5 linked regions of the Coturnix japonica genome follow. The protein of the gene in region 3 interacts with the protein of the main gene of each other region in a biochemical or structural test. Links are inferred from orthologs where the notes say so. Each region holds a gene or a part of one and is shown on either strand. Other genes may lie near its edges.

Region 1 (3,514 bases), about 320 kb from region 3:
AGGACATTGTAAAGGAAAAGTATCTCACAGATCAAAGGACAGGACAGTGCCCCTGGTACACCTAGACTTCAATAGAATTGCTGCAGGTTGTTTTCATAACTGCAACTTGAACCACTACAACAAAGCAACTTATCACATCAACTAAATGGGGCACAGACCAAAACCAGCCTCAGCAGGGAACTCCTTGAACAGAGGGTGCCAAAATAAGTGACCCTGTGTACAGCTGCAATGCTGATACTAAGCCTGGATGTTCATAATAAGGGAAGAGCCAAGAGGCACAGCAGTCCTGCTGTCTGCTGCAACCCCAACCCTCTGACATGTGGAGCTCAGGATGGAGCTTCCTGCAGGTTTCCAGCTTAGCTCTGCACCAGGATTGAACTCAGGTGTAAAAAGAGCAACAGGATGTGCTTCAAATGATTTGCTTTTTAGCCATTTGTAATGTTGGTGGAGGCCCGTGATACCTTAAAACACTGCTTATACACCACAGAATGTGTTCTGTAACATTTAATTACAGAACCTGAGACTGACACGGTGTCTGTACATACAGAAAGGCCATCCCTTTAGACGCTGATTCCTTACGAGGCTGTACCCATCATAACAGCATTTTTCCCCCTTAAGTACTTAAACTGCCGTGTACGCTTTTCTTTTGGCTTAACCATCGAAGCACAGCATTTACTGCTGGTGTTCAGCAGTTTCTCTTCCAGCACAACTTAATGCACACAAAGCAACAAGAGCATGAACTGACCATAACACGCAGGGATCAGCATTGAGTGCTGGAGAGATTCCAGTAACTGGTTGTGAGCAACGGGAAAATAATCCGCAGCACTGACAACTCTTAATTGATGCCCCAAAGCTCTGGTGTCTCAAGCTCCACTTTCATTACGTTTAATTGCATCTTATCACTCAAAGTAGAGGTATAAGCTTATAATTCACACTTAGTCCAGTCACCTTATAAAATCAAATCCATTCAAATTTTTAACAAATTCAGTCACATAATGTCTTGCTTACCCCTTATTGAAGTTTTTATCATCTTCTACCCACTGAATGTGAACGTGTTCCTGAGGATCTTCAGCATCTACTTTGCCACAGGTGATGGTGAAGTCTTTCATCTCTCTCAAGGCCTGCCTCAGAGAGTCCATGTTCTCTGCAGTTATCTGGACCATTACTCCATCTGGGGAACCAAGAAATCCTCATAAGCCAAAATAAATCACAATGAGCAGACAGTATAGAACAGAAAAACATCCTTCCTCTTGTAAGCAACACTGAAACATGTTGGAAATCCATTCTGACACTACACAAGCCCATTCCTGAACCCTCTGATCCCTAAAAGATGGAACAAAAAGCACAACGGGTGGGGTTTTTTCCTAAGTAAGATGAAGCTGAACCAGCAGCTTCATTCAAATGCTCAGGGCTTAGCTGAGCAGTGCTAAGGGGGAAGCAGCACATATGAAGCAAGCAGTTCAGTTCTTACCTTCTACTATACTGGATTTGGCAAGGTAGCCTGACGAGGATTTTAAAGCTCCACTGAACACAAAGAAGCTGGCACCAGTCACTGCAACAACAACCAGAGTGATTTAGTGAGGCTTTCATCAAGACAATGCCTCACACAACAATCAGGTACAACAGCTCCATCACCCAAAGAGGCGATTAACAGAAATCAGAACAAGTGCTGCTCAGTGCTTTACATGCTTGGACATAGAAAGGCAAATCATCCAGCCACCTTCTGGACAGCTGTTTTATCAGCCTAAATGCCGGTATTTCATCGCTCTCCCCAGTAATGCCTTTAAGTTTCAAAACTGTTAATTTAGGGTAACCAATTACATCACCCTAAAAGTTCTCACACAGGCAGCAAAAGACTGTGATCTGCTTATAGCTCACACTAACACCAACCAGTGGAAAAACAGCCAGCTCATTTAGAATAAAATTCTCTTAAAGGACCACCAAGCATCACAGAATACTCGCTGGAAGTCCCTCTATTCATCCCATGTGTAAAACAAACCACACCCAGATAAAACCAGCAGTCCTGAAGTGATGTCCCATGTCAGTACACTCAATGCATATGGGGATACTTGGAAAACAAAAGCTGGCCTGTATCTTGCTTCTTCTCATTTGGTGATAGTGTAAATGTCTCTGCCAGGTAAAGCCTGGAAATGAGATGATCTGACAGAGGCGAACACATCTTTGAAGCTACGTTATTTAAACACTGCTGCTGTTGTTTATTTCTGTTCACATCTCCCCCCTCCTACTAAACCCATCTTCCTCCTTTTGCACAGCCTACAGGGCAAGCACAGGCAACAACACTCCCACCTCTAGTCTCCAACAAGGCCAAAGACTGCTGTCATTTTTCATATACAGAAGTTGTGTAAGGCAGTCACAGCACTTCTGGAAATGTGCATGTCCCAAGCTGCACTGTGCAAACAGTATTACCACATTTACAAGGGAGCAAGCTGTAATATGCTTCATTTTGTGTCTGCTTGGTCTATGAAGCTGCCAGAATGCCTCTCAGACTAATTCAGAACAGCACTACTGACCTAGGAAGTGTGATGAGGGCTGCACACAGGACACAAACAGCAGCGTGCCCCTGGATGCCTTACTGTGCTGGGGGGGGTAAAGGCAGAGAGCAGCGCAACACGCTACTCTGCGTGTCCAAACCTAACTCACAAAGCTGCCCACTCAGGAAGGCCAACAGTCAGATGATTTTCTCTGAACTAGAGCAGAAACAGTGAAATACAGACAAGCCCAATCCTGACAGATTCACCAAGCAACGTGTGGCATCACTGTAAGAACAACAGCAAAACAGAAGTTATACAGAGAACCGTGATCCAATGGCCTCACGAGCCCCAGTCTCACCCTTCCTCGACTGATTGTGGATGCTGATGGCCTGCGTCTGGTAATTCCCATCATCATTCTGAACGCACACCAGATGCGAGTCTGCTTTCTCATTGAAGCACGCTCCCCCTGCTAGAACATGCTCGTTGGATTTGTTCATGGCTTTCATCATCTGCAAACAAAAAGGTTTATGCCATTCTTACCCTGTTTGTCAAGCAATACCATGTAAGGGTTATTCTTGGAACGGTTCATTCAGACAGTGAAAATTAAGAGTGCTTGCAGTCTCATGTCAGACAGACTCCAGTACTCAGAACCATAACCTGCACTTGAAAAGACAGTTCAGCTCTCATTTAATCTAGATGCTTTAGTGTCACCTCTCAAGTAATTAGGATAACTGGTAGGAAGGACAGATGACCTACAAAGTGGCTGTTTTATAAAACATCCAAGGGAAAAAAATATTAGTAAAATATTGGGAGGAAATATCTGGTTAGTTGACGCTACTAGAGCCAATGATCCCCATTTTGTTTCTGACGATGAGATTTTTTATCTGAAACAAACACTGAGGAGTCACCTGTCCTGGAACTTGTTTCAAAACTAAAAATGATGTATTTGATTTAAAGAAAAAAAGAGGGGAAAGAGGGTCGAGTGATTAAATTACACCTCAGAGAGAAGGAAAATGCTGACA
Region 2 (3,514 bases), on a different chromosome or scaffold from region 3:
AAGCTTACTGGTCCGGTTATTGCCACATTCTGCAGTCGAGGATCCTCCCATTGTGTTTTCTTGGTATCTGCAAGGTATTTCATAATTATTTCCCTTAACTTAGACAACAGTAACGACATGATGAGTGGTGAGAGAACATTACATTGTACATACTGTGGTTTATGAAGAATATTCTTCCGTCTGTGTGTGTTCTCTCTTCCCACCCTGGCTGTAAGAAGAAGATACGTAATGAAAACTTACAGTCACACAGTTCGCATAAACACGAGGTGATCAGCAGTCGTAGGGATTGCTGCCTGCTCCTCCCATCTACTCTTAACTCTGGAATTCAACATTTAGTTTGTTGTTGTTGTTATTTAAAAAACTTTTTATTGTTTTGTTTTTTAAAGCAACAGACTGCTTTTTTTTTTCCATGTACAAATTTAGATCGTGGCAGTTTAAATTAAATTGTTATCCCTTGAAAACCAAGTAAAAATTATCTACTTACTGGTAACGGTCCTAGATCTACTGGATCTAGGGAAGTCTTTCTCCTTAGATGAGCAGGAATTTTCAGTCTTGGATCTTCCTTTGAAAACAAAACAATCAGCATGTAAGAATTGTTTTGAGGGTTTGTTTTGTTTTGCTTTGCTTTAATTTTGTTTTCCTCTTTGTTAGTGACCATGTAAAAAGCATGCCTAGTACCAACAAGATAACTGTTGCATATTCTACAGCTAGGGAGTTCCTTGAGGATCATCATTTCAGTACTTTACAATCATCATCTTCTAATCAGGTTTAAATCCCCTCCCTTTTCTATGTATGTGCGTATATATGTACATACGTGTGTATAGATGTGAGTACATATATTTTTTGTATCATTTTCATATATTCTCTACATTTCCCTTTCATTTAGCAGTAACAATGACCTACTCTTTAAACACTTAAGTCCATCTACTAGGACAGGCTGGTGATAATCAGTGTCACTCAGCACAACCAGAGCTGAACACTTGCATCCATACTGCAGCTACACCTGACCTGCTCCAGGAATTTGCATTGTGCACTGCAGGATGTGAAAGACTCAAGGTAATGGATTTGTTTTTGGAAGACAGGATTACAGAACTGACCTCTGTTAACACTGCATACAGTTCTACACTTGCAAAACTGATTCGCAAACACAGTATTTTCCTCCTAAGTTAAACTTTCAAGTGATAATACAGTACATAAAATCCATGAGATTCTACTCAGGAATGATATTTTAAATTATTCAGGTTTTTTTGTTTTTGTTGTTGTTGTTGTTGTTTTAAATCACATATATTCCGTAACAGACATGACTATCTTGCTTGAATAAGAAATGTGTCACAATACCTTCTCTACTGACAATAAATCACATTCACATTTGTAGTCATTCTTTCCTTCTTGTTTGTGCATGTGAGGTAGGAGAGTTGTTAGGTTTCTCCTTGTTTGTTTTGTTTTTAAATAAAGATGCTAGTGAAGAAATCTTGACGCTAAAGAAATCTATGCAAGTTTGCTAAAAGCAGGAAAGCTTTCACTTGAGACAAACTAGAACTTCAGTCCATGAAAGCAGGTATCATTACCCATGTTGTAGTTTTGGTATTGTGGTCAATAAAGAATGGTCTCCCATTAGGTGCATGTCGAACTTCCCAGCCTTTAGGGAGAAATCCTTGCTCCATTTCAGGCTGCTGATTAGAAGACTGTTGTGATGAATCACCTGATGTTGCTTGTGGCTGTCTTGCTATAGAAGTATTTTGTGCAGTTGGCAACTGACCTGCTTCCATAGCAATCTACAGACCAAGGAAAAAAAGAAGAACACTAATAAAAATTAACTGTAGAACAATGTATTTTATCTTAATATTAAGGTACTAATATTTCTCAACTCATGAAAGCAGTTTCATAAAGCAAATGCCAAACAGTAGACAGCTTTGTTTATCAACAACATAACTAACAATCACAGATTAAGCTACCAAAGTTGAAAAATGTTCTTCAGGCTTCCCCAACAGCCATCACATTCCAGAAGGCTTTCCTGATACATTAATCGTAGAGTGCCTTGCCATAAATACTACTGTTACTAACTCCAGTTGCACTCCCTCAGATTTTTGTGATTTGTTATCAGGTTATGCCTCTCACATGTTTTTGTTCAAAGAGATCTCTAAACTTAACTCCTATTATGTGTAGTGTTTAAAAGGTTATATGAATGAAAACAGTAATTAGAATGCAGAAAGTACCTGTACAACTGGTTTTATCCAAGTAGTAGTTCTGGAATTGTGATCTATGTAATATGACCTCCCTTTTTCATCTTGTCTTTCTTCCCAGCCTGGCGGTAATCCAGATGAAGTAGGCAGTAACTAAATATTAATGACAACAGAAGAAAAAGTAGTTAGGAAAACTATGAAACTGACTATGAAAAGGCTTTCCTCTGCCAAATTAAAGACAATAACAATTAACAAAAGCCGTGATTCTCCGTGGACTGGAAAATTAGAAAAGTAGTATTTAAATCCTTACTGAAGCATCAAGTGACAGAATTATTTTATTTATTTACTTTTAATTCAAGCCTCTCATCCAAAAGGATTAGAAGGACTAATTTAGATGTCCGCTTTAGAGATGGCTGATCTAGCCTCATAATTCTGGATAGGAACTCATAATTCTGCAGCATCACCTTGAAAATGTAACATAAGGACAGCAGTATAGCCCTTATTAAAAAGTAAATGATTTCAGAAACAGTATTTCATGGGAGAATCATTTCCCTCTGCAAGCTCTATCCATGCATTAAGTGATGTTAACCCAAAAACACCAAGTGGGAAGATGGAAGCTTTACAACTGAACTCCAGTCCTCCTAGACTCTCATAACTGCAACTTTATTAGGAGAGCTGCCAGGAGCCCATTATACATAGCTAAATTAAGATGTTCTACATCCTCCAACTTCTGTGCTACACAAGCCTCCTGTGTACAAATGTTCTGAACAAATGTTGTTGGATGATGACATACCACTGGATGTGCAGGCTGCTCTTCAACTCTGTATGTTTGCAGACTACCTCTTCTGCTGGAATGGCTCTTGAAGTAGTGGAGAAGAATGACATGTCAGCTATTTTTGCAGTTTTAAGGACAACAGCAAACTGTAGACTGTGATTATCACAATTTAAACTGTTACAGTTTTCACCCTGAAAACATCTTTTTTTTTTAAAATGATCATTTCAAAACATTTTGTAAACTGATGCTTCAGCACTTCTGTTAACATTGTTCATAGCATCTTCTGTAGCTTCAAAGAAAATTAATATAGAGACTTGAAAAAGCTCTGAAAACCCTAACAATAGATATTTTGGCATTAAAAACATCAGTTATTTGCAAACAGTTACATTACAATTGAACTTACAATATAGGACTCATTATCTTCTCAGCGGACTACAGCCTACTACACATCAGAGCTAACACAAGTTTTCAGAGGACAGTTTAAATAGGACATGAAAGACTGAGATAACAGCTCTCAAAAGGGGTGGTTCAATTACTACAGTTTGCACAAGCACCC
Region 3 (4,171 bases):
CCTTAAACAGTACTAAGGAAGGTTCAGGTTGGATATTAGGAACAATTTCTTTTCAGAAACAGTGGTGACACATTAACACAGGCTGCCCAGGAAGGTGGTGGAATCACCATGCTTGGAGAACCATGATGCTGTGGGACTGATGGACATAGTCAGTGGGCATGGGGGGAACGGGTTGGGGTTGGACTTGTGGAAGGGGTCTTTTCCAGTCTGAATGATTTTATGATAAAATGAGAAATGGTGGTAGAATAAAGATATTCTTCTCATTACCTGTTATCTTGTCAGTGATGCCACCACTGCACAGCTGAACGTCCTCTAGCTGCGCCTTAACCCACCACAGGATCCTGCAGAAGCAGCTCTGACATTGCTCTCACCTTGAAGCTACTCTTAAGAGAGGCAGTGACTCCTCTCCAACCACTGCTTACCTTCTTAATTCTCCTATTAACCGAGTCAACATATTCCTGCGATAAACATTCACACCCTGTACAGTATTCATTGTGAGTTACAGCACACTATTACAAAGTGTTTCCATCACAAGCAACACTCACAACTCAGGCACTACTTCTAGCTTCTTAGGAAAACCTTTTCCAAGCCCTGTAAACGCCAACAATATCTTCTCTGTTGCTATAGATTTCATACTGAAAGTGCTTAAGTCACCCAATAACCAGCAGCAAAACAAAACTCTCAAACAATAATAAAAGGAAATCCTCAAGGAGGAACTCACGTGGATAACAAGCAGCAGCACAGCTCCCCACCTTCCAAGCACTAAAGGGCCTCTCAAAGGTCTGAACAGAGATGGAAGAGCCAAGTACCAGCAGCTGGCTTAAAGAACTCAGATGGGAGCCTGACACAGATCAGCTGAGACACCCTTGATTAAAGCCGGCCATGCTTTATTGCTTCAGGACCTAATTTCTAGTTGCTGTCACCTGTGTTGAATTTGCTTCAGATCAATATTCAGTGGCCTGAACCTGATGGGCAAGAAGGCACTATGAGGATCTGAGCTGGAGGAAACCCTTAAATGTGCCTTAAGAAACATGTTTCCTTCATGCTGCGTTGGTGTGGTTATGTTAGAAGGGTGCCGACTTCGCACTGTGCATACAACTGTATTTCACTTTAAAAGTTTATCTTCTCAATTGAGAGGCTGCACACACCGTTACATCAATCACGTATTGCTGTAGCTCTCATCACCTCCAAGGCCGCCTCCGCACACAAAGAGCAGCACGGCCCGGCCCTCTGCCCTTAGCGGCTGCCGGGGCCCAGCGCGGGGCAGGAACTTCGGCCTCCGGCACAGCTCCGCCCCGAGCTCAGACGCCGGGTCCGTCCCGCACACCGACAGCTGCGGGGCGGAGCGAAGCGCCGCTCGCTGTGGGGCCGGAGGCGGCCGGCCTGGCCTCATTGCGCCGGGGCGGGCACAGCTCCCCGGCCGCCGAGCGCGGTGCCGCCGGGCCCTACGTGCGCGATCCCGGCGGGGCGGAGTGAGAGGAGGAGCCGGGGCGGCCTGTGCGACAAAGCCCAGTGCGCAGAAAGCTGGTGACCAGGAAGCGGAACGGCACCGGGCTGCCGCGGGGCGGGGGGCGGGCGGACCCCACCTGAGCCCCGCTGCCCCAGCGCTCCCGGGCGGGAGCCGAGCCCTGCGGCCCCACGGCTCGGGGCCAAGTGCGGCCGGCGCTGCGGGGCGGCCGTGCTGCCGCTAAGCCGCTTAGGGCCGGGCTGGCATGAGCCTCCCCGGCGGGGCGGCTGCGGGCTGCGCGCTGCGGGGCGGCTGAGGGTGCGGAGCCGTCCGTCGTAAGGAGGGGGAGAAAGCGGAGGGGACGCCCCTGCTCCCCGGGGGGAAGGAAAATGGGGAACTGCCTCAAGTCCCCCACATCAGATGACATCTCGCTGCTCCACGAGTCCCAGTCGGACCGGGCCAGCTACGGGGACGGGGCTGAGCCGGATCAGGAGCCGCCGCCGCCATATCAGGTACGGGAGGGGGCGGGGAGCGGCGCGGCGGAGCCGGTGGGGACGGGGACGGACGGAGAGGGGCACGGGACGGGGGGGCGGGTTGAAGCCCCGAGGACCCCCCGGGGCGCTGCACAGCGTCCGTCCCCGCGGGCACCGAACGGCGGGTCCCGGCCGTGAAGTGAGGAGCGCCGCTTTGTTCCCCGGGGGGTCGCCGAGCTGTCGCGGGGCCGCACGGACCGTTCGGGACACGAAGCCGGAGACGGCGGAGGGGGGTCGGGGCCCGCCCAGGGGTCGGAGCCGCCTCGATCGTGTCTGGATTTGGGCTGAAAGCAGGAGGGGAAGGCGTCGAGTTTCCAGCCGTGCCGCTTCCTTTGTTGTCGTCGCGCGGTGACATCACTGTCTGTGCCGCTCTCGGTGCTCCCCGCACCGGAGGCCGCGCGCTCGGCGCTGCCCGGCTTTGTCTGCGGCGCTTCGGCAGCAGCTGAACCGGAGTAACTTCGTGCTGCGGGGTGAGCCCGTTTCTTTCAGCTCCGTGCGGTTCCAGGAAGGGCCGTTCGCTCTCCTGCCTGGAGAGGATGTGTACATTGACGGCTGATGACGAGCTGGGGAAGAACGCCGGGTGCTCCGTCACGTCCTCACAGCTGTGGGGTCCCGGCACAGCTCTGTGCTGTGATGGCCACCAAAAGGACCCAGGGCTGCATTTATCCCCTGCTTCATCTCCATCTCCTAAGGAAGGATTGTACGTGGCTCTGAGCAGGACACGAGCCCTGTCTGAAGGGATCTGTAACAGTGACAGGTACAGATGAGTCCTGCGCTCCTTAGGGTGGGGAGTCACGCAGGAGTTGCAGACCTTAACGTATTATTAACAAGGCTGCAGGAAGTATTTAGCAGGGCAGATATTAACCTGTGATACTCGACGAACACCGGCTGTGACAGGAGGTCCCTGGGTTGCTCCATGGGCACAGCAACCCTTGGTGGAACCATGCTGGGACCACTGGGCCCTGCAGAGCTGCTCGCTTTATGTGACTGCTTCATGACAGAACAAATTCCCTAAGATGGGTTGGGTTTTTTTCCCTGACTTTTTAGTAAAGTCTGCACAAGTCCATTAAATAAAGATGTGTGGTGTCAGGTTTTTTTGACAGGCGATGTTCTGAGCCAATCCTGCTTGTCCCTCCTGTTTGGGAACGCAATGAAAATTGTCCCTTGGAAAAAAACCTGTCGGCTCTTGCAGGAGTTGAGAAATTGCACTGTGCAGGCCTTCTCCTGTCGACTTCAGAGCACAGCAGACAGTAAAATAAGCAAACTCGCAGACATTTGTTACTGTGTGCATTCATAGCAAAACTCCCCCAAACCCCACGCGCTGATCCCAGCAGATCTCAAACACTCACTGTAAGGGGCATCTTGTGTTGCATAGTCAACATTCAAAGATACTCGCTCCACAAATAAAGAAACACAGTGCTTTGTGATGACAAAAGACCTTCACCTTCATACTTTGCAGTATTCCACACGCTTTGAGGTTGAGGGGGGTTGTAACTTCAAATTGTTTTGGGGTGAAAAGGTGTGCAAGCCGAGCGCTGAACCTGGGGAACTCCTGGAGCTCCATTATTGCTGTAGTGGCAGCAGGATGTTGTGATCTTATCCTCTTCCTTGCCTGCCTTCCTCCGCAGGTCTGCATGTTCTCTTACACACTTTAATTCTCATTCAAACATTGTAGAAAGTATCACCTATAAGGACAAGAATCCCACATGCCCATTTCTAACACTGAATCTGAGCTATGATCTGGAATTTAAAATAAGGCCAAGAGTTTAAAAACTTGTTTGTGGCACCTACTGCTGCGCACGAGGAGCTGTGGACGATTAACAACTTAAAACTGAGCTGCTGGAGCCTCAGCCATAAAATGGCTGCATTTGGGTTTGCTTCCTTTGGGTTTGCAGCAACGATGTGCAAACTTCCTGAGCCGCTCTCTCAAGGTGTGCTAACAAGCAGAGCGAAGGAAGCTTGCTGGGGTAGGTGCAGCGTTGTAGACAGGACTTGTGTGTCTCTTTGAGCTAAAGTCTGTGCTATCTTGATACTCAAAACATTTTCTGTGTCTTGGCACGCTTGTTTTGTGGGTGTCCATATGGGAATCGAGTTAAGCAATAATTTTTTAAGGTGTTCACTTCTAACTGCAAAATAGGCACCTAATAATCTCTTCACTGTTGCATGCCAAACTCCTTTTCATCACTGAGTG
Region 4 (3,514 bases), on a different chromosome or scaffold from region 3:
TTTTTCTCAGTAATTATCAGGTCATAATCGCTTCTCTCACACTGTCATCCTATTTTGCACCACACTCATTAGGCAAGGTTTACCCCCTCTCTCTCTTCCCTGGATGTTTATTGCTCTGAAAAGCTTTTGTAATGACAACTAATAATCATCTTGTCCATCTCCCTGGAATACATTTGTTTGGGTTTGTACTTCACAGGTTTAACAATTTACAATTAATGCAATTCTTTGTGCATGTGTGTACCAAAATGTAAAGCTGGATTCCTGCTGTGACTGTGAGGCAGATGTGAGAATTCAGGTGTCAGGATACACAGGCAGCGTTCTCAGGGTTGTAAAGCAGGTGACTGCCTCTCAGAGTTCGAGTTGGGTTTTTGTTTGTTTTTTTCAAACATAACTATTTAGATTTTTGTTCTCAGGTAGACACAACATCATGCCATAAACTTGTGCCCTCGCTTGTGTTTTCTTGCACTACATACACAATATGTAAAAGCATGTTTTTTAGGCTGATGTTGCTGGGGAAGCCGTGAAGCTGAATTTCCATGTTGAAATTAGTTCTGCTGCCAGTGTAGCTCCTATAGACAAGTGTTTGCTTCCAGGCTTCCCTTGTAAATTGGAGCTTATTACCTGCAATAGTCAAACTCTGGCCTTTTTATGTAATTTGTCTTCTGAGTTCTGCATGTCTTGTAACTCCCTAAATAAAAAATGGTGTAAAGAAATGCAGACTGGTCCAGAAGACCAAATCCTGGCATTTATCGTAAACGTTTTTCAGTCATGCAAATATATTTATCTGAGTGAAAATCTTGGAAACCACATCACTTTTATTTCCTGTCTATTTAGTACATGAGTATTTCATGTTGCTGTTGTTATGTTGCTGTTTGCACACCTTTGTACTTTCTTGATTCTTATATGTACCTCTGCAACCTCTTTTGTCTTTGTTTTCTACATGGTTTGTGCGGCATATAGCAAAAGTCAAAGCAGCTGGGATTTCCTGTGGAGAAAACAGCCCATGTTTTTACTTTCTTCCAGTTATTTTTTCCTATTGCTAAAAAAATAACATAGTAAGGGATCTTAACATGGAAAGTCATCTTATCTGTGTTTTAATCCTTCTACGTTTTTAGCTTGGAAAAATACCTGAAAAAGCTTCTTAAGAAGTGCAAGCAGTAGGCCAATGTATGCAATGCAGGTGAATCTCTTGTGATTAACTGTTTCCTTCCCACTAATGTTTGTATTGTTGCTATGATGTCCAGACTCTCACTGCTATAAGCTGCACAGTTGTAGACAGCTGATCTTTTCAGGGCAATAATTGAGATGCTAAGAAATTATGCATGAACACTTGAAGTGCAGCTTTTCCCTGAGGATGGGTGATGGTGCAGTTTCATATGATTATTAGCAGTTGCTATTATTTAGATAAACTCCTGGTTTTGAATAGACTAGGAAGGAGTAATGTCAATGAAAGTGAAAAGGTGTTGTGTTAAAGGAGCTACGGAGAAACCTGAACATAGGTGAGGCTGTGGCAGGCTCTGGTAGTTGGATTTATTTGTTGTATTTAATTATTTCAACAATATGGTAACCAAGGTATTGAAATTTGTTTTCTTTTTGTATATTTTAGAAAAGAGGACTGACAGCAATGGCAGAGTGTATTTTGTCAATCACAACACACGTATCACGCAGTGGGAAGATCCCAGGAGTCAGGGGTAAGAAATCAATTACAGCTTCTTGTAAATCCGAAATGAAAATGTAATAAAGAAGTGAGAATGAGGCATTGGCTGGATGATACTGCTTACAGCTCAAGCATAGGCTGTCACAGAATCATAGAATGGCCTGGGTTGAAAGGGATCTTAAAGATCATCTGGTTTCAACCCCCCTGCTGTGTGCAGGGTCACCAGCTACCAGACCAGGCTGCCCAGAGCCACATCCAGCCTGGCCTTGAATGCCTGCAGGGATGGGGCATCCACAGCCTCCTTGGGCAACCTGTTCCAGTGCATCACTACCATCTGAGTGAAAAACCTCCTCACAGTATCAAACCCAAATCTGCCCTGTCCCACTTCAAAACCATCAACCCATGTCCTATACACAGTTCTCAGGCAGTTAATATTAAAGGATACCACGGAAATTGAGATTGTAATATGGATAATATAATGTAATAGATAGTAATAATAGAGTTAGCAGGAAAATCTTGCTCAGCAGCAGTGAATTAATTCCCCAGAACAGTTCCTACCATTTTCATATACTGTATATGTATTTGTATTGCTGCAGGGGAGAGAGAAGGATTTCTTCTTGATGCAGAAGATTCTGAGTCAAAATTTGATTATTTACCAAACAGATGATAGCAAGAGATAGAGATGGGAAACACAAACTCCAGGAACTGCAGCACTTCCACTTTATCATTTTTAAATAAAATTAAATCTAAAAAAAAAAAAGAAAAAAAAAAACTAGAGGCACTACCCCACAAGTAATGGATTCTTGTATTTCTCTTTAGTTTGGGGTCCAGTTACTTTGTCTCTCAGAGGTAGGAAGTGAAAAGTGAAGGATGTTTTCATCTCACTCAAAAAATCTCGGATAAAATTTCCACCAAATGAAACAGTTTGGCCTGTCCCTTACAGAGGAGGAAGAGAAGTGGAGGGGCTAAGAGCAGTAGCCAGAGATGACGACCTTTGCATGTCAGGCACATCTGCAGCAGCTGACTGAATGGAAAACACTGTTATTTCTAGTAACCACCCAAATTTATAGCTGGAAATGTGGCCCTACAGTGTCTTTCTGTAAACTCTGTAGAAGGACTCTGTAAACACTTTGGTGGAGTGCTACTACTCAAGTGTTCCACATATTTCAAGATACACTTACACTGATGTCAAAGTTGAGGTGGGAGTTGTCAAAAAAGGTCACTGTTTGTATTTTCTTTATGTTCTTTTATTTTTGTCATTCTGAAACACTTAGCTGCTGAAATTATATGTGAGGTAACTAAGGCTACTTACTAAGACAGTGTCAGTTTCAGAATAAAACTGTAATAAATGACAGATTCTATTTGCTGTTATATTTCTACACAACTGAAGGAGCTAAAAATTCATTTAAACAATCACTGTGGTCTGAGAGCTGACTTGAAAATTGGAGAGAAAAAGGCAGAATAAGTGCTGAATGGAAAGTTTCGCAGTCTGCACTTCTAGATCCACTTGAATTTTTACTGTCTCAAGTCATCGATCGGTTGCCTTGATTGTATTAAGTTGTATTAAGTTACCATGTATTTTCTTGTACTCACAGTCAATTAAATGAGAAACCCTTACCTGAGGGCTGGGAAATGCGATTTACTGTGGACGGCATTCCATATTTTGTGGATCACAATAGAAGAACCACTACATATATAGATCCCCGCACGGGCAAGTCTGCTCTGTAAGAGTTTTTTAACTACTGCCTTTTAAATGTGAAGTTCAACAGCCATCATTAAGTTTATTTTCTCTGTTTTGTGTGCAGGAAGTTTTACACGTAAACTTTTTGTTTTCTTAGTCCACTGATGACACTCCCT
Region 5 (4,127 bases), on a different chromosome or scaffold from region 3:
CACAGAAAATTTGCACCTGGAAGGATCTGGTGCTTGAGACACGCTATGGGACAATGGAGACGTGAGTCTGTGCATACAGGGGGGGACCCTTTCATAGAACCATAGAATGGCCTGGGTTGAAAAGGACCACAATGCTCATCCAGTTTCAACCCCCTTGCTGTGTGCAGGGTCACCAACCACCAGAACAGGCTGCCCAGAGCCACATCCAGCCTGGCTTCATTTTAAAGGGGAAAACTTTGAGAGCCATATCCTACTTGTGAGGCCTTCAATGGGACAAAATCAATTCCTGCTCCTAGATGTGATTTAATGAGGTCCAAGCCCCAAACTCAGCCAAGATGAGCCAACTCTGGACATGCTAGTTCAGTTCTGTGCTGTATGCAGCTTCAGAAAGTGAACACTGGGCTATGCAGAAGCTACATTACAAACTCTGCAAAGCATTGGTCATCTTTTCATCCCGTGTTTGGATCTTGGTACTCAGGTTGGATCTTAATCTATGACCGCCCTTATAGTAATACTTAACAGGTTGGCTCAGCAGGAAGAAGTCAGTGCAATGACACGACTGAGTGAGATGCATGTGAACATACAGAGCATTAGTAAGGTTATTAGTACGAATAGGTGTGTGGTTTATTAGCTCAGTCTTATAAGGTAAACTTTACTGTGGCAACTTTACAGCTTTTCCGGGAGCTTTTCCCGGCCTTCAGAGCCCGCTTGGCATTGATGTGAGCCCTGCGCTCCCCTCCCTCATGGGAGATGTGCAGGAGCTGGACAGACTGTGGAAGGAGTCACCTTTCCTGCAGGATGGAGCTAAATTAGGCCTCACAATGGGAATGTGAGGCCTTTTTTTTTTATTTTTATTTTTTTTTTGGCAATTAGCACAACCGCGCTGCTCATTTTAAGCAGCACAGACAAGCAGCACATCAGCTCAGAGTTCATTGCTCCCATGGCAAGTCTGCTGTGCCCCATCCACCCAAAATATTGCCCCAGATTGCAAGCACTCCCGCATGGCAGACCTATTCAGTTTAGCCCGGCTTTAAATGTATTCCTATGCTGTTTCTTCTCACGTGTACCTTTGTCCCCCCACCCGTTTCTCTGGCTTCCCTCCTTCCACACCTCGGTAATTCCTCCCGACTCCCCCCAGTCTCGCCGCCACCTGATGCAGCCCCCATGGGGCATCCCGCTCACATCGGCCCCAGCCCCGGGACGGAGCGGGACTCGGGGTGGGCACTCGGCCTCGGCCTCCAACGGAGCACAGAGCAGAGCAGAGCCGAGCACAGAGCAGAGCCGAGCACAGAGCAGAGCAGAGCCGAGCCCGGCCTGCCCAGGGGAGGGGAGGCGGCCGTTCGCTGCTCCGTCCCGGCTTTGTTGTGCTCGCCGCCCGGGCTGCGGGTTAGGGGGCGGGGAAGCGAAGGGAAGGGAAGGGAAAGGAAGGCGGCCGCGTCTCCTCCTCCGCCTCCTCCTCGGCCCCGGCCCCACTCATGGCGACGCTGGGCACATCCGGGCTTCTCCTCCTCCTCCGGCGGCCGCCGCTGCCCTGAGCGCCCGAGCCGACTCCATTAGCGCGTCCCCTCCCCCCCCGTCTCCCTTCCCGGACCCAGAGGCAGGGGGAGCCCCGGGCAAAGCAGCGCCGGGCCCGAGCCGCGGCCGGGGACATGTCCAACCAAGGGGCTCGGAGGAACGGGCCCGTCAAGCTGCGGCTGACAGGTGAGGCTGAGCGCGGCGGCGGGGAACTGCGGCCGGGCCTGCATAACGCTGTATAACAACGCTGCATAACGCTGAATAACGCTGAATAACGCTGAATAACGCTGAATAACGCTCGGGCACGGGGCGAGCAGCAGCGGGGCTGTGCGGGACGGGGCGCGGCGGGGAGGGGAGGGGAAACCCGCGGCCACGGGGGAGCGAGTTCCTGGAGCGGCGGGGAGCCCCGGCGAGCCCAGCTGGAGGGTGGGAGGGAGCGAGCGAGCGGGAGCTCCTCCATGTGTATTTGAGGTTGAACCTGGGCTTGGAGGCGGCTCTCAGGCCTCGTGAGGAGAAGGGGCAAAATACAGACAGCGAACTCTTCCCTCTCCTCCCGTCCGCTCCCTCAGTGAGGGCAGCTCCCCGTGGGCCGCCCGCCTCGGGAACAAAACGCCAGCGGGAGCCGTGTGGTACCGGGCACCTCAGCCCCGTCCCGCCGCCCCCACCGCTGGGTTTCGCTTTTTTTCCTTCGCCTTCTCAGCGTGAACTTGAAAGAAAGTGACACACGCTTTGTTTTCATCTCTTTGTTTGTTTCTTTATATATATATATATTTTCCCCGAGCCGACTTCCTTAGTGAAGGTTGTACACAGTCGGTTTGACACGGTGCCTTGTGTGGGCAGCTTTCTCTCAGAAGACCACTTGACCTCGAATGCTTTAAAATAGCATTAAAAAGCTGCTCACCTGCGTGCAGGGAAGGAAAATACGCTATTTCCAAGCACTTGAAGTGTTATGATCCTTTACATGAGAGAACCAGGTACATTGATCGAGAGAAGGAACACTGGAGCTCTCTTTAAAAAAAAATAAATAATACAGCGAAGTTAATAGGACAGAGCTGCTCCAAAGTGATGTAAGGCCCTCCCCCAGCTGATAAATCCTATCTTGGGTTCCAAAGTGTGAGTGCTTGAAGGTAAGCCGTTAGAAAGCAGGAGATACATTGCTTCAAATACTCTTATTTGCAGATAGTGGGTTTAACCAGCTTGCAAAACAAATATGTTTTAACAAAAACCTGAAGGAATTGGAACATTAACTATAGGCACATCTGAAATATTTCCAGTTTGATGTCATATAAATACAGATGTTTTCATATTTATTTTTTGCAAGCGTGCTGTTTTTATAGAGGAGATGCAATGTATGTTTTGCTGTGGAAGTACCTTGGACTAAATTTATAATGTAATTTTCATTGAGATGTGTGAATGCCTATATAATACAGTGAGAAATGAAATCTGTGAGCTAAATGTGGCTGGGACCGATGCATGGAGCAGTGCTGCCTGTTTGTACAGTGCTTGGGAGCTTTTTCTTCAGGTTACTGCTTTATTGATGCAAAACTTTAATGCTTTTTTTCCCTTTGCTGTGAGTGCTCAGACTTGCTTATCTTCGAAACATTGCGAATAGTCTGGAGCCTTTAGTAAAAGCCTGGAAAATACTGTTCAGGCGGCTGTCTGCTTCACCTTTGGGTTTTGTATTCTGTTGTGTTTTATTTTGATTAAGGATTAAGTACGTCTTCTAATCCTGTCTTTGACAACATAAATATGTCAAGGGGAGTGTAGCTGTGAGCAATAGGCAGTGGTTGTATGTACCGAGTGGTTCCCAAAAGAAGCAGGTACGTTCTTGAGGAACGATTCTGAGTTTTTCATTACCTGTTTTTTAGGAGGGGTGGCTGCAGAGCAATGGATTCAAAGCAAAGTCGCCTTTAGAGAGAGACTGCTCCACTTTTAGCATCTCTGTGCAGGCGCTGAGAACCGGTTCTGTTATTTGGAAGCTTACATGAAATATTGACCTATTTCTCAAGTTAGAAAGACTTGAGGTATTTTGTGCTTTAGCAAACTGCCTGTTGTTTTTTATGCGGTCGTTGGTTGTAGGGAAGCTTTATATGCTTAAGAAAAGTTGTTACAAACATTGGATTTTATTAATTGAGCTGACACGGTGTCAGTCCTTGCATAGGAATAGATCTAAGTGTACTTTGTGGCTTTGATGACCCTTTTTGATTGGAAAAGCAGTTTGAGAGCTCTCAAATTCTAGAACTGTTTGGAATTAAAGGAATCTGTATATTCCAGTGTTTTAAAAAGTTTATTTTCATGCTTGCAAATGCTATATAACCTTAATTTTCTTTGGCTTTATGATGCCAGCAGTCTTCTGTTCTGGCTTGAATATTTATAGGATTAATTCTGTAAACATTGTGTAACACTTATCTTTCCTATTTGTTATCTCTAAATTAGATACTATAGATTGAAAAAAATAAAAAATAAATGGATTCAAGAACTGGATTCAATTAGCAGTTTTTCAGGACATAAACATTAAAGGTTTAGATGGAAAACATTGTTTTGACTGACTGGATAAATGACAGGGTAATGTTTGATGTGAGTCCAAGAGCTGATCTGTAGTAGTGCCCAAC

The links.
Region 1: the proteins of RNF11 (region 3) and ZFYVE9 form a complex in vitro, tested with the Homo sapiens proteins (2 studies listed by BioGRID). The link is inferred for Coturnix japonica from reciprocal best matches to the Homo sapiens genes RNF11 and ZFYVE9.
Region 2: the proteins of RNF11 (region 3) and NEDD4 form a complex in vitro, tested with the Homo sapiens proteins (3 studies listed by BioGRID and IntAct, with this or other methods). The link is inferred for Coturnix japonica from reciprocal best matches to the Homo sapiens genes RNF11 and NEDD4.
Region 4: the proteins of RNF11 (region 3) and ITCH form a complex in vitro, tested with the Homo sapiens proteins (2 studies listed by BioGRID and IntAct). The link is inferred for Coturnix japonica from reciprocal best matches to the Homo sapiens genes RNF11 and ITCH.
Region 5: the proteins of RNF11 (region 3) and SMURF2 form a complex in vitro, tested with the Homo sapiens proteins (3 studies listed by BioGRID and IntAct, with this or other methods). The link is inferred for Coturnix japonica from reciprocal best matches to the Homo sapiens genes RNF11 and SMURF2.

What each region holds. Positions count from the first base shown.
Region 1 is NC_029523.1:21,729,034-21,732,547, reverse strand, and holds part of ZFYVE9 (zinc finger FYVE domain-containing protein 9), read right to left. Parts: intron 3,002-3,514; coding exon 2,851-3,001; intron 1,553-2,850; coding exon 1,472-1,552; intron 1,172-1,471; coding exon 1,009-1,171; intron 1-1,008. UniProt on the Homo sapiens protein: Early endosomal protein that functions to recruit SMAD2/SMAD3 to intracellular membranes and to the TGF-beta receptor.
Region 2 is NC_029525.1:6,743,641-6,747,154, reverse strand, and holds part of NEDD4 (E3 ubiquitin-protein ligase NEDD4), read right to left. Parts: intron 3,043-3,514; coding exon 2,977-3,042; intron 2,337-2,976; coding exon 2,217-2,336; intron 1,776-2,216; coding exon 1,569-1,775; intron 563-1,568; coding exon 485-562; intron 209-484; coding exon 154-208; intron 68-153; coding exon 9-67; intron 1-8. UniProt on the Homo sapiens protein: E3 ubiquitin-protein ligase which accepts ubiquitin from an E2 ubiquitin-conjugating enzyme in the form of a thioester and then directly transfers the ubiquitin to targeted substrates. Specifically ubiquitinates 'Lys-63' in target proteins.
Region 3 is NC_029523.1:21,407,950-21,412,120, forward strand, and holds the start of RNF11 (RING finger protein 11), read left to right. Parts: upstream 1-1,370; 5' UTR 1,371-1,836; coding exon 1,837-1,959; intron 1,960-4,171. UniProt on the Homo sapiens protein: Essential component of a ubiquitin-editing protein complex, comprising also TNFAIP3, ITCH and TAX1BP1, that ensures the transient nature of inflammatory signaling pathways. Promotes the association of TNFAIP3 to RIPK1 after TNF stimulation.
Region 4 is NC_029535.1:1,340,818-1,344,331, reverse strand, and holds part of ITCH (E3 ubiquitin-protein ligase Itchy homolog), read left to right. Parts: intron 1-1,606; coding exon 1,607-1,691; intron 1,692-3,252; coding exon 3,253-3,381; intron 3,382-3,514. UniProt on the Homo sapiens protein: Acts as an Acts as an E3 ubiquitin-protein ligase which accepts ubiquitin from an E2 ubiquitin-conjugating enzyme in the form of a thioester and then directly transfers the ubiquitin to targeted substrates.
Region 5 is NC_029533.1:7,186,451-7,190,577, forward strand, and holds the start of SMURF2 (E3 ubiquitin-protein ligase SMURF2), read left to right. Parts: upstream 1-1,320; 5' UTR 1,321-1,649; coding exon 1,650-1,701; intron 1,702-4,127. UniProt on the Homo sapiens protein: E3 ubiquitin-protein ligase which accepts ubiquitin from an E2 ubiquitin-conjugating enzyme in the form of a thioester and then directly transfers the ubiquitin to targeted substrates.